Linked DNA regions of Saccharomyces cerevisiae S288C. The protein of the gene in region 3 binds, or shares a complex with, the protein of the main gene of each other region. Links are inferred from orthologs where the notes say so. Each region holds a gene or a part of one and is shown on either strand. Other genes may lie near its edges. The genes, in order: ATG29, ATG17 and ATG31.

Evidence for each region.
Region 1: the proteins of ATG31 (region 3) and ATG29 are in contact, whole or in part, in a crystal structure (PDB 5JHF), measured with the Lachancea thermotolerans proteins. The link is inferred for Saccharomyces cerevisiae S288C from one-to-one orthologs. Residues at the interface, in XP_002552568.1 of Lachancea thermotolerans: Val9, Leu10, Pro12, Phe13, Val15, Val17, Gly34, His35, Pro36, Asp37, His38, Gln41, Val43, Met44, Phe45, Ala46, Thr47, Asn48, Val49, Lys50, Tyr51, Ile52, Phe53, Glu54, Asp55, Asp56, Glu58, Leu60, Asp65, Ile68; in XP_002553217.1 of Lachancea thermotolerans: Met1, Asn2, Ser3, Glu4, Asn5, Thr6, Ile7, Val8, Tyr9, Val10, Arg11, Val12, Ala13, Gly14, Arg15, Ala16, Arg17, Phe20, Asp22, Pro23, Lys25, Phe26, Tyr27, Trp28, Asp29, Leu30, Glu31, Asp33, Arg34, Trp37.
Region 2: the proteins of ATG31 (region 3) and ATG17 are in contact, whole or in part, in a crystal structure (PDB 4P1W), measured with the Lachancea thermotolerans proteins. The link is inferred for Saccharomyces cerevisiae S288C from one-to-one orthologs. Residues at the interface, in XP_002552568.1 of Lachancea thermotolerans: Ile73, Glu86, Ile88, Asp90, Gln91, Lys93, Leu110, Ser111, Arg112, Phe113, Glu114, Thr115, Pro116, Leu119, Gly120, Leu124, Glu125, Leu127, Val128, Leu130, Tyr131, Lys132, Gln134, Asn135, Asp136, Leu138, His139, Leu141, Phe142, Leu145; in XP_002553389.1 of Lachancea thermotolerans: Arg39, Lys43, Phe44, Ser46, Lys47, Leu48, His49, Phe50, Val51, Asp53, Cys54, Ile55, Gln57, Gln58, Lys60, Phe61, Leu62, Ile65, Leu66, Glu69, Gly70, Ile71, Asn74, Leu75, Gln283, Leu286, Ser287, Leu290, Leu293, Arg294.

Annotation. Positions count from the first base shown.
Region 1 is NC_001148.4:235,594-238,605, reverse strand, and holds ATG29 (Atg29p), read right to left. Parts: upstream 1,269-3,012; coding exon 627-1,268; downstream 1-626. Other genes in the region: SET6 (Set6p), read left to right, coding at 1-650; REV3 (DNA-directed DNA polymerase), read left to right, coding at 1,499-3,012. UniProt on the Saccharomyces cerevisiae protein: Plays a role in autophagy. Functions at the preautophagosomal structure (PAS) in order to form normal autophagosomes under starvation conditions. Also plays a role in mitophagy and regulation of filamentous growth.
Region 2 is NC_001144.5:971,405-974,917, forward strand, and holds ATG17 (protein kinase regulatory subunit ATG17), read right to left. Parts: upstream 1,767-3,513; coding exon 513-1,766; downstream 1-512. Other genes in the region: guanine nucleotide exchange factor DCK1, read left to right, coding at 1-291; mRNA splicing protein SPP382, read left to right, coding at 1,991-3,513. UniProt on the Saccharomyces cerevisiae protein: Autophagy-specific protein that functions with ATG13, ATG29, and CIS1/ATG31 in response to autophagy-inducing signals as a scaffold to recruit other ATG proteins to organize pre-autophagosomal structure (PAS) formation.
Region 3 is NC_001136.10:487,411-490,587, forward strand, and holds ATG31 (Atg31p), read right to left. Parts: upstream 1,253-3,177; coding exon 662-1,252; downstream 1-661. Other genes in the region: ATP-dependent RNA helicase FAL1, read left to right, coding at 1-593; serine--tRNA ligase SES1, read left to right, coding at 2,098-3,177. UniProt on the Saccharomyces cerevisiae protein: Plays a role in starvation-induced autophagy. Involved in mitophagy. Functions with ATG17 and ATG29 at the preautophagosomal structure (PAS) in order to form normal autophagosomes under starvation conditions.

The DNA.
Region 1 (3,012 bases), on a different chromosome or scaffold from region 3:
TACAGTCTTCATGGGATGAGATTGAAAGTAAATGGATACCGCGCATCAACAACATGAAATCTGCGAAGAGAATAAATCAATTACCACCCACTTGCGAAGATGAATATTGCTGCATTAGGTTTGTGTGCGAGAGTTTGTTTAATCTTAAATATATGGATCCTCAGTGCATAACATACCGAGCTTTCAATATGTTACAATCGAATGAGCTTAGCAAAATATCTAAATTTCCTGTCTTACTGCACTTTCAAAAATTAGTATTTCAAACACTCTATATTCTATTACCTTCACATTTGCATAGAATGCTCTCCATACCGCTATTGAGACATATATTAGGTACTGAATATGGGAATGCTTTTGGTTTATGGCAAGAGGGCGAAGCCTCAGACAGCAGAGAATATTTTGGATACTGGGTATTTCCAGAAGCCTCCTATTTCAACCACTCTTGTAACCCCAATATAACGAAATATCGTAAAGGTAATTCAATGCTATTCACTATGAATAGAGATATAAAAAAGGATGAGCAGATCTGTATCGATTATTCCGGGGTACTGGACTTACCAACAGTAAAACGCCGGGCCTTTTTGGCCGACAGTTGGTTTTTTGATTGTGCTTGTGAAAGATGTAAATCAGAATTGCAATCTGTCCATTAGCGCTTCTTCCAACGCAGATTTACTAACACTTAAGCTCGAAGATAAATCGTCATCTGAACTACCGCACTCCATTTCTTTATTAATACCATCCTTATCCAATTTGTCATTAGGCTTATTCTCACTATCCGATGTTTTCTTGTGAATGTTCAAAATTTTGGAAGTTTGCAAATGTTGTAACGCCTCATTTGTTACTTCTGTCTCAACTTCTTCAGAATCCTGTCTTTCCGTGGTCAGTGGGCTTGCGGATACATTTAATAGATTATCATTTTGTAAAGTAGGGGTATATTTATGTATTAAATCAGACATCCCTTCATTCACTTGATCATTTGAATACTTCTCAAGATCTCTTTTTTTCTCCAATTGTAGTTGTAAAAGCTCTAAGTGTTCAGCAAATAATTTATATGTTCTCTTTTTAAGAAAAAATTCAGGCGTTTCAAATATTTTTGATAAATTCTGCCAATCTATTTGATCTTGTGAATAATTCAAATTTGATACCATTGTCCAAAGCTGTCGCTCCTTTGTTCCATTCCACTCAAATTTGGGAGGATCCAAGAATCCCTGTGGTCTCCTACCCTTAACTTTGATATATACAACTGTGTTTGTACTATTCATAATCATGAAAGTCAAGTAGGAAAATGCACAGCAGTACAATTATGTATGTCTCTTCTTGATAAGTATTCACTAACACCCCTTTATTTTCACCTTGAATCATTTTTTTGACGAGTGCAGTGCGTCTAGAAATAGTGTACTTGAAGAAAAAAGCCATCTCTGTAATAGAAGCACAAAACAAGAGAAAGTATTTGAGTCAATACAAAACTACAAGTTGTGGCGAAATAAAATGTTTGGAAATGTCGAGGGAGTCGAACGACACAATACAGAGCGATACGGTTAGATCATCCTCTAAATCAGACTATTTTAGAATCCAGCTAAATAATCAAGACTACTATATGTCAAAACCCACCTTTTTGGACCCATCGCACGGTGAAAGCCTGCCCTTAAACCAGTTTTCACAGGTCCCAAACATCAGGGTGTTTGGTGCTTTACCCACAGGGCATCAAGTATTGTGCCACGTCCATGGCATTCTACCTTACATGTTCATCAAGTATGATGGACAAATAACTGACACGAGTACATTGAGACACCAAAGATGTGCCCAAGTTCATAAAACGCTGGAAGTAAAAATTAGGGCATCCTTTAAAAGGAAAAAAGATGATAAACACGATTTAGCCGGCGACAAACTTGGAAATCTCAATTTTGTCGCTGATGTCTCTGTTGTAAAGGGTATACCATTTTATGGTTACCACGTTGGCTGGAATCTGTTTTACAAAATTTCTTTGCTTAATCCTTCTTGTCTAAGTAGGATTTCGGAATTGATTAGAGATGGCAAGATTTTCGGAAAGAAATTCGAAATTTATGAATCACATATTCCTTACTTGCTACAATGGACCGCAGATTTTAACTTATTTGGATGTTCATGGATAAACGTGGATAGGTGTTATTTTCGCTCTCCTGTTTTAAATAGTATACTGGACATAGATAAGCTGACAATTAATGATGATCTTCAGTTGTTACTAGATCGATTTTGTGACTTCAAGTGTAACGTACTCAGTAGAAGGGATTTTCCACGGGTTGGAAATGGATTGATTGAGATAGATATACTACCGCAATTCATCAAAAATAGAGAAAAGTTACAGCATAGAGATATACATCACGACTTTTTGGAAAAACTGGGAGATATTTCTGACATACCTGTCAAACCATATGTATCCTCTGCTAGGGACATGATAAATGAACTTACCATGCAACGAGAGGAGTTGTCCTTGAAGGAATATAAAGAACCACCAGAAACAAAGCGCCATGTGAGTGGTCATCAATGGCAATCTTCTGGAGAGTTCGAAGCGTTTTATAAGAAAGCACAACATAAAACAAGTACTTTTGATGGTCAAATACCAAATTTTGAGAACTTTATAGATAAGAATCAAAAATTCTCAGCCATAAATACGCCCTATGAAGCATTACCGCAATTGTGGCCAAGGCTTCCACAGATTGAAATAAACAATAATAGTATGCAAGATAAAAAGAACGACGACCAAGTTAATGCATCGTTCACCGAATACGAGATATGTGGTGTTGATAATGAGAACGAAGGTGTAAAAGGAAGCAATATAAAGTCTCGGTCTTATTCATGGTTACCGGAAAGCATTGCGTCTCCGAAAGATTCTACTATACTATTAGATCATCAAACAAAATATCACAATACGATAAATTTTTCAATGGATTGTGCTATGACGCAAAATATGGCAAGTAAACGAAAACTTAGATCATCTGTTTCTGCTAATAAAACATCGTTGCTGTCTCGGAA
Region 2 (3,513 bases), on a different chromosome or scaffold from region 3:
CGAATAATTTCGCACAAGAACCCCAATAAAAAGGCAAGCTTTTCTGGAAGGGATCATCACACCTCAGGGTCCAATCATAGCCAATTTGTATTAGAACATAGCGACTCATTTGGCCCAAACAGTTTACTTTTTGGAAAATATTTAACAAGAACGTTATCCCACTCGTCCACTACGAGCAGTTTGGATAAAAGTGGAATTGTTTCCGGCACTTCGAGCACCTTTTTGGCAGGGTCACAGCCAAACACCAACACAGATTCACAGCACAAGCATGATTACTCACATTCGGGATAATATGTCAGAAGTTGTTCACTATAAAATATACGCATATGTAATCATTTATTTATTCATTCATGACTTTTAGTTGAAAAGGGCACATTTTTCTTTGTCGTAAAAGTGAAGAAGACAGCGAATTTTTTCCTTTCTCCTTCAAGTATTGCTTTTTTGATAAAGTATTTTTCGAAATATTGATACAATTATTGAATCTTTGTACCGTATCCTTTTTTTCCTTTTTTCTAAGGATTCTTCACGTTGTAATTTAAAGTGTACAGGGAAGAAAAATCGTCAATTTTACCGGGCCAGATTGTCTCAGGAAGATAAGTTCCATTTTCCGCTATAAAATTCTGACGTTCTTCCTGGTCCTGAGCATCTAAATTCTGCAACTGCTTTTCACAATCTTTCAATATAGTTTTCATTCTGTTTGCCACATCCTTTCTCCTCTTTGCTTCTAGAACTAAGTTACCGTAGCTTTCTTCAAAATTATCATAAAATTCACAAAGTTCCTTAGTTGTTTGAATATCTTGTGTACAGGAATTTTTGAAGCTATCAATCAGATTGGAAATATCTTTAAAGATTAATAGATATTCCAAATTTCTATTGAAATCGTTTATTATTTCAGAAACTTCGCTGTGTAGTTCTGTCTTTTCCTTTATTTTTGCCTGCAAAAATTGACCCAAGTTAAGAATTGTTTTGTCCACGTCATCAATTACCTCATGCAGAGTTTTGAAAATGTTGTATAGTTCTTTGTCGTCGCCTTGTACCACCTTAAACAGCTCCTCACGTTCATCGTTATCAATTTTTTTATCTTGTAACAGCAATGTCTTATCAAAGTGCTGTGTCAATGAATTCATTATCTCTGCTAAATCTTTTTCAAGGTCCGTTAGTTCCCTGCTAAACTGCTCTGCAACATTTGTTTCCATCAGGTTATCTATACCAAATTTACTTTGGAATTTTTGAGTTACGTCCGTCAACTTGGTATCAATCAGTTCTTTGTTAACTTTTCTGACCATATTTTCGTATTGAAGCTTAATGTTTTCAATTTGACGCTCAATTACTGGCACTTCTTTCAGTTTGTCATTCAATAAGTTAACGTTGTCTCTCGAGATGTAATCTCCTAGTTTAGAGGGATCGGTATCATCTTTTTCTGATATGCTCAATTCATTTACTATACCATCCAACCTTTGTACTTTAGAAGTGATTTCATATTGCCAGTACTTCATCTCATCAACTAAGACCACTAAGACAGCTTGATTCCATTGTTTCTGGATTAGCTTTGTCCCAATGCCTTCCTTTAAAATAGTGTAAAGAAACTTTCCTTGCTGTCTCAAGCCAACTATTAGAAAATTGAGTTTTGAAATACTCAACTGCCAAGATGACAATTTTTTCTTAATATCTACAATCCTTAAATTAGCACTTGAACATAAAAGTTGAGCATCGGTCAGCGTTTTCCTGGCATTATTAACAAATTTTGTAACATCTGCTTCGTTCATAGGTGTTAAATACGTTGATAATATCCTCGCAGTATCGAATTTATCGTACGTTATGCGACTTTCAAATAATTATCAAGTTAGGGATATCTTGCAATTTTTAATACTGAGGCCTTAGAGCGCGCATCTAGTATTTACATTATGTCAAAACAATAACAAAAATCCAAAATTTCGAAATAGTACAACCGAGAGAGGTCGAAGAACTTAAGCCTTCAGTACGCCAAAACATGGAGGATTCGGACTCCAACACAGATAAAAAGTTCTTTTTCAAAAAAAGAAGAATCGATTCCTATAATTATAGCGATGAGGAAGATAATAATTCAAGCATGAATAGTGACATGACATACACTAATGATGCCTTGAAAACTAGTAGCGGCAATGCCCCAACGATCTCAAAATTAACGAAGACATATGGTATTGGTGCGAAGTTACTTTCGAGTATGGGATATGTTGCGGGAAAAGGCCTTGGGAAGGATGGTTCTGGTATAACTACACCAATAGAAACCCAAAGCCGACCTATGCACAATGCAGGTCTAGGAATGTTTTCAAATACCAACTCCAGTAACTATCACAGTGAAAATGAGGATTACTTGAGCTCTGAGGATGAGGTGGTTGAAGGTATAGAACAAGTCAAATTCAATAAAACCTCCACGGAGGTTTTAGGCGAAGCGTTGTTAAATGATAGTGGTGATATGACTATAGTGCGAACACTGAGAGAATTGAGGTTAGCAGGGGTACAATTACCAGAGAGTATCCTAAAAGAATTAGACCCTTTAAATGCAGTACCAAAGCCGAAAAAAGATGTTGTTGTGGAGATATTGCAAGAGCTGCTGGGTATTGAAAAAAGTTTGGAAGCTATTCGTCAGCGCACCTCTCCGTTAGAAGTGCAAGTCAAAGAATATTATGGACAAGAGAGGCTTCTTTCTGAATTGGAGGTTACTTTGAGGGACGAAAGCAAGCATGTTTCCCTGTATGATAAGATTGGTGCTATTTTAAAATTGTCCGACGACGAGCTCATAGATAGGCTAACGTCCTGCTTATTGAGAAAAGAATTACTAATAGAATTTGATTTGGATCATTTAGAAAAGCCAAACGATATACTTGATGAGTTAACGCAAATTATAGAACTACTCGCATATAGAATGGATACAACTTCGAAATTTTTGAACAGGACACAAACAACAATCTTTAAAGTTATATATCCCAAACTCAAAAAATTTTGGGAAGGGTTTGATATGACTAAATCAAAAATCGACAGCGCTATCACCCTATTACTGGATTTCCAACAAGTGCTAAGTTTTATCGGGTGTAAAGAGCATATCATGGAGGAATTCGTCTATCCAAAGCTATTACAGGAATTAGATAATTGGGAACTTCACGATGAAGTAGACCATGTTTCGCCAAGAATATGGGTCTTGGATTTTATGGTTTTAATTGACGATAAGATCAAAGACACAATTGTGGACAAGATTGAAGCAAAATTTTTTGCTTATTGTAAAAATTGGTACCATAGGGAATCATTTTGTATCACTAATTCTGATATTATATTTATCAAAGAACTTATCTGCGAACGAAGATATTACAAAATTTTATGTAAAGAGTTTCTTCCTAAATTCCTGGACGAGCTGTGGGAAAGACATAATGACCCCATCTACGAGTTAGAGGATTGGAAGGAAAAACAGGAATGGAAAGAAAAAGATTCTGGATTTTTCTATTTTATGAAAAAACTGAGAAGTTATACCCATTATTT
Region 3 (3,177 bases):
TTGTTGTCAGCGCAACAATGAATAAGGACATTTTAGAAGTAACCAGAAAATTTATGAATGATCCAGTTAAAATCCTAGTGAAGAGGGATGAAATATCACTTGAAGGTATCAAACAATATGTCGTTAATGTTGACAAAGAAGAGTGGAAATTCGATACTCTGTGTGATATATACGATTCTTTGACCATTACACAATGTGTGATATTCTGTAACACCAAGAAAAAAGTAGATTGGTTATCTCAGCGGCTAATCCAATCAAACTTTGCTGTAGTCTCCATGCATGGTGATATGAAACAAGAAGAAAGAGATAAAGTAATGAATGATTTTAGAACAGGTCATTCTCGTGTACTGATATCGACGGATGTTTGGGCGCGCGGTATTGATGTCCAACAAGTTTCTTTAGTCATTAACTATGACCTACCAGAAATAATAGAAAATTACATCCATCGTATCGGTAGAAGTGGTCGATTTGGTAGAAAGGGTGTGGCTATAAACTTCATTACCAAAGCTGATTTAGCAAAACTTAGAGAAATTGAAAAATTCTATTCTATCAAAATAAATCCGATGCCAGCAAATTTTGCAGAATTATCATAAAATATAGAGAACATATACCTACATAAACAAGTTAAGAGAGTCTCATCCATGCGGCTTCATTTTTGCTTTCATACGGAATTGGAGAGCATTTGTAATTGTTCATTTTGTGTGACGTAGAGTTTAATTAAGTCATTCAAACTCAAATCGCGAAGAAAAGGAGACAGATCGCAAAATTGTGAAATTACATCGAGCTCAATGTCCGAGTCCACTCTGAATCTATCACTGTCAACGCTAAGTTCTTCCTCTTCATCATTAGATTTATCATCACCATGTGATGATAATGTTCTCATTTGGTTTTCCTCCAAGCTGAGACTATTTGTCCTATGTGACAAAAGCTCATATTGGTCGCTGATTAGTGTGATATCCTCAAGAGATCCCGATTCATCCAATTGGACAATTATGACATTTTCAAGTTCATCTCCGACCTTATCTATTCCTGCTGTCAAAGCAGCATCACTTGAATCTACTAGTTCATCATTGTTGTCCTCAAATATGTACTTAATGTTAGTGGGAAACATTGCATAATCACTTCCGTCCGTGCTCTTTGATTCATTATTGTATGCTGGTTGATCATCGTTGCTGGGACCCTTGTTATTTTTGATATTCTCTTCTAATCTGTACTTGACATTTTTATCATAAACAGTAACTGTAACATTCATTCCTGTTCGCAGATTTCAGCAATGTTTACCGGCTTAATAAGAAAATGGGAATGCGACGTTTATCTTGGATATTGACCACCCTTATATTATGGATATGTACTTCAAATTATTATCTTTTACGATAAAAAAGATTCTGATCCAACCGAGGTTCGAACTCGGGATCTTCGCCGTGTAAAGGCGACGTCTTGAACCACTGGACCATTGGACCGGAAACCCATTGGAAATGACTTAATCCCAATATCGCTATATTAAATGTAAAATAACTTTTTCAGGATAATCCACAAGAGTGGTGCTTCTGTCATTAAACTAATTTTTTTAAGGCCTGTTCGCCTATTATATGTCGAAAGTGTGTATTTCTTTCAAGTTATGCCTGCAATTCAAAGGACAGATTTATTTTACAGTGTCGACGACACCGTTTGAAAATGCAGATGCAGGACTGGGCACGTTTTACAATACGTATCGAGTCAAAAATACACTGATTTTGGTGATATTAGCTGCAGCATGGCGAATTTTTCACATATTACTGATAAGGATGGACATTATGTTTGACTTTTTTCCTTAGAGTAAGTATGGTCAGCAGAACAAAAAAGAGTTCCTACATTTATACGAAGGTAAAATTGTAAAAAACATGAATGCGGCCTATCCGGCTCGAAAATTGTTCCTCATATATATTAAAAAAAAATCACGTGGTGCAAAAAAAAATTTTTTTGTCATTTCTTCGAATCAACTCAATGAAATTTGAAAAATAGCAGAAAATAAGTTGATAAGATCGCAATGTAATATATATATATATATATATATATTACAATTCGTGAACTGGCACAAGGAAAAGCGTGTAATTAAAAATGTTGGACATCAACCAATTTATCGAAGATAAGGGTGGTAACCCAGAGCTAATCAGACAATCTCAGAAAGCAAGAAATGCCAGTGTTGAAATCGTCGATGAAATTATTTCCGACTACAAAGATTGGGTCAAAACAAGATTCGAATTAGATGAATTGAACAAGAAATTCAACAAGCTTCAAAAGGATATTGGTTTGAAGTTTAAAAACAAGGAAGACGCTTCCGGATTATTAGCCGAAAAAGAGAAGTTAACCCAACAAAAGAAGGAATTGACTGAAAAGGAGCAACAGGAAGATAAGGACTTGAAGAAAAAAGTTTTTCAAGTAGGAAATATCGTTCATCCATCTGTTGTTGTTTCCAACGATGAAGAAAACAATGAATTGGTCCGTACTTGGAAACCAGAGGATTTAGAAGCGGTTGGCCCCATTGCTTCTGTGACTGGTAAACCAGCTAGTTTATCCCATCATGAAATCTTGCTAAGATTAGATGGATATGATCCAGACCGTGGTGTAAAGATTTGTGGTCATAGAGGTTATTTCTTCAGAAATTATGGTGTTTTCTTGAACCAAGCTTTGATTAACTATGGTTTACAGTTCTTAGCTGCCAAGGGTTATATTCCTTTACAAGCTCCAGTCATGATGAATAAAGAACTTATGTCAAAAACTGCTCAACTATCTGAATTCGATGAAGAGTTATACAAAGTTATCGATGGTGAAGATGAAAAATACCTAATTGCTACCTCAGAACAACCTATCTCCGCTTACCACAGCGGTGAATGGTTTGAAAAGCCACAAGAGCAATTGCCAATTCACTATGTCGGTTACTCCTCTTGTTTCCGTAGAGAAGCCGGTTCTCACGGTAAGGATGCTTGGGGTGTCTTCAGAGTTCATGCTTTCGAAAAAATTGAACAATTCGTCATCACTGAACCTGAAAAATCTTGGGAGGAGTTTGAAAAGATGATCTCTTACTCTGAGGAATTTTATAAGTCTTTGAAATTACCATACCGTATCGTTGGTATCGTTTCCGGTGAATTAAACAATGCTGCCGCTAAAAAGTACGATTTAGAAGCCTGGTTCCCATAC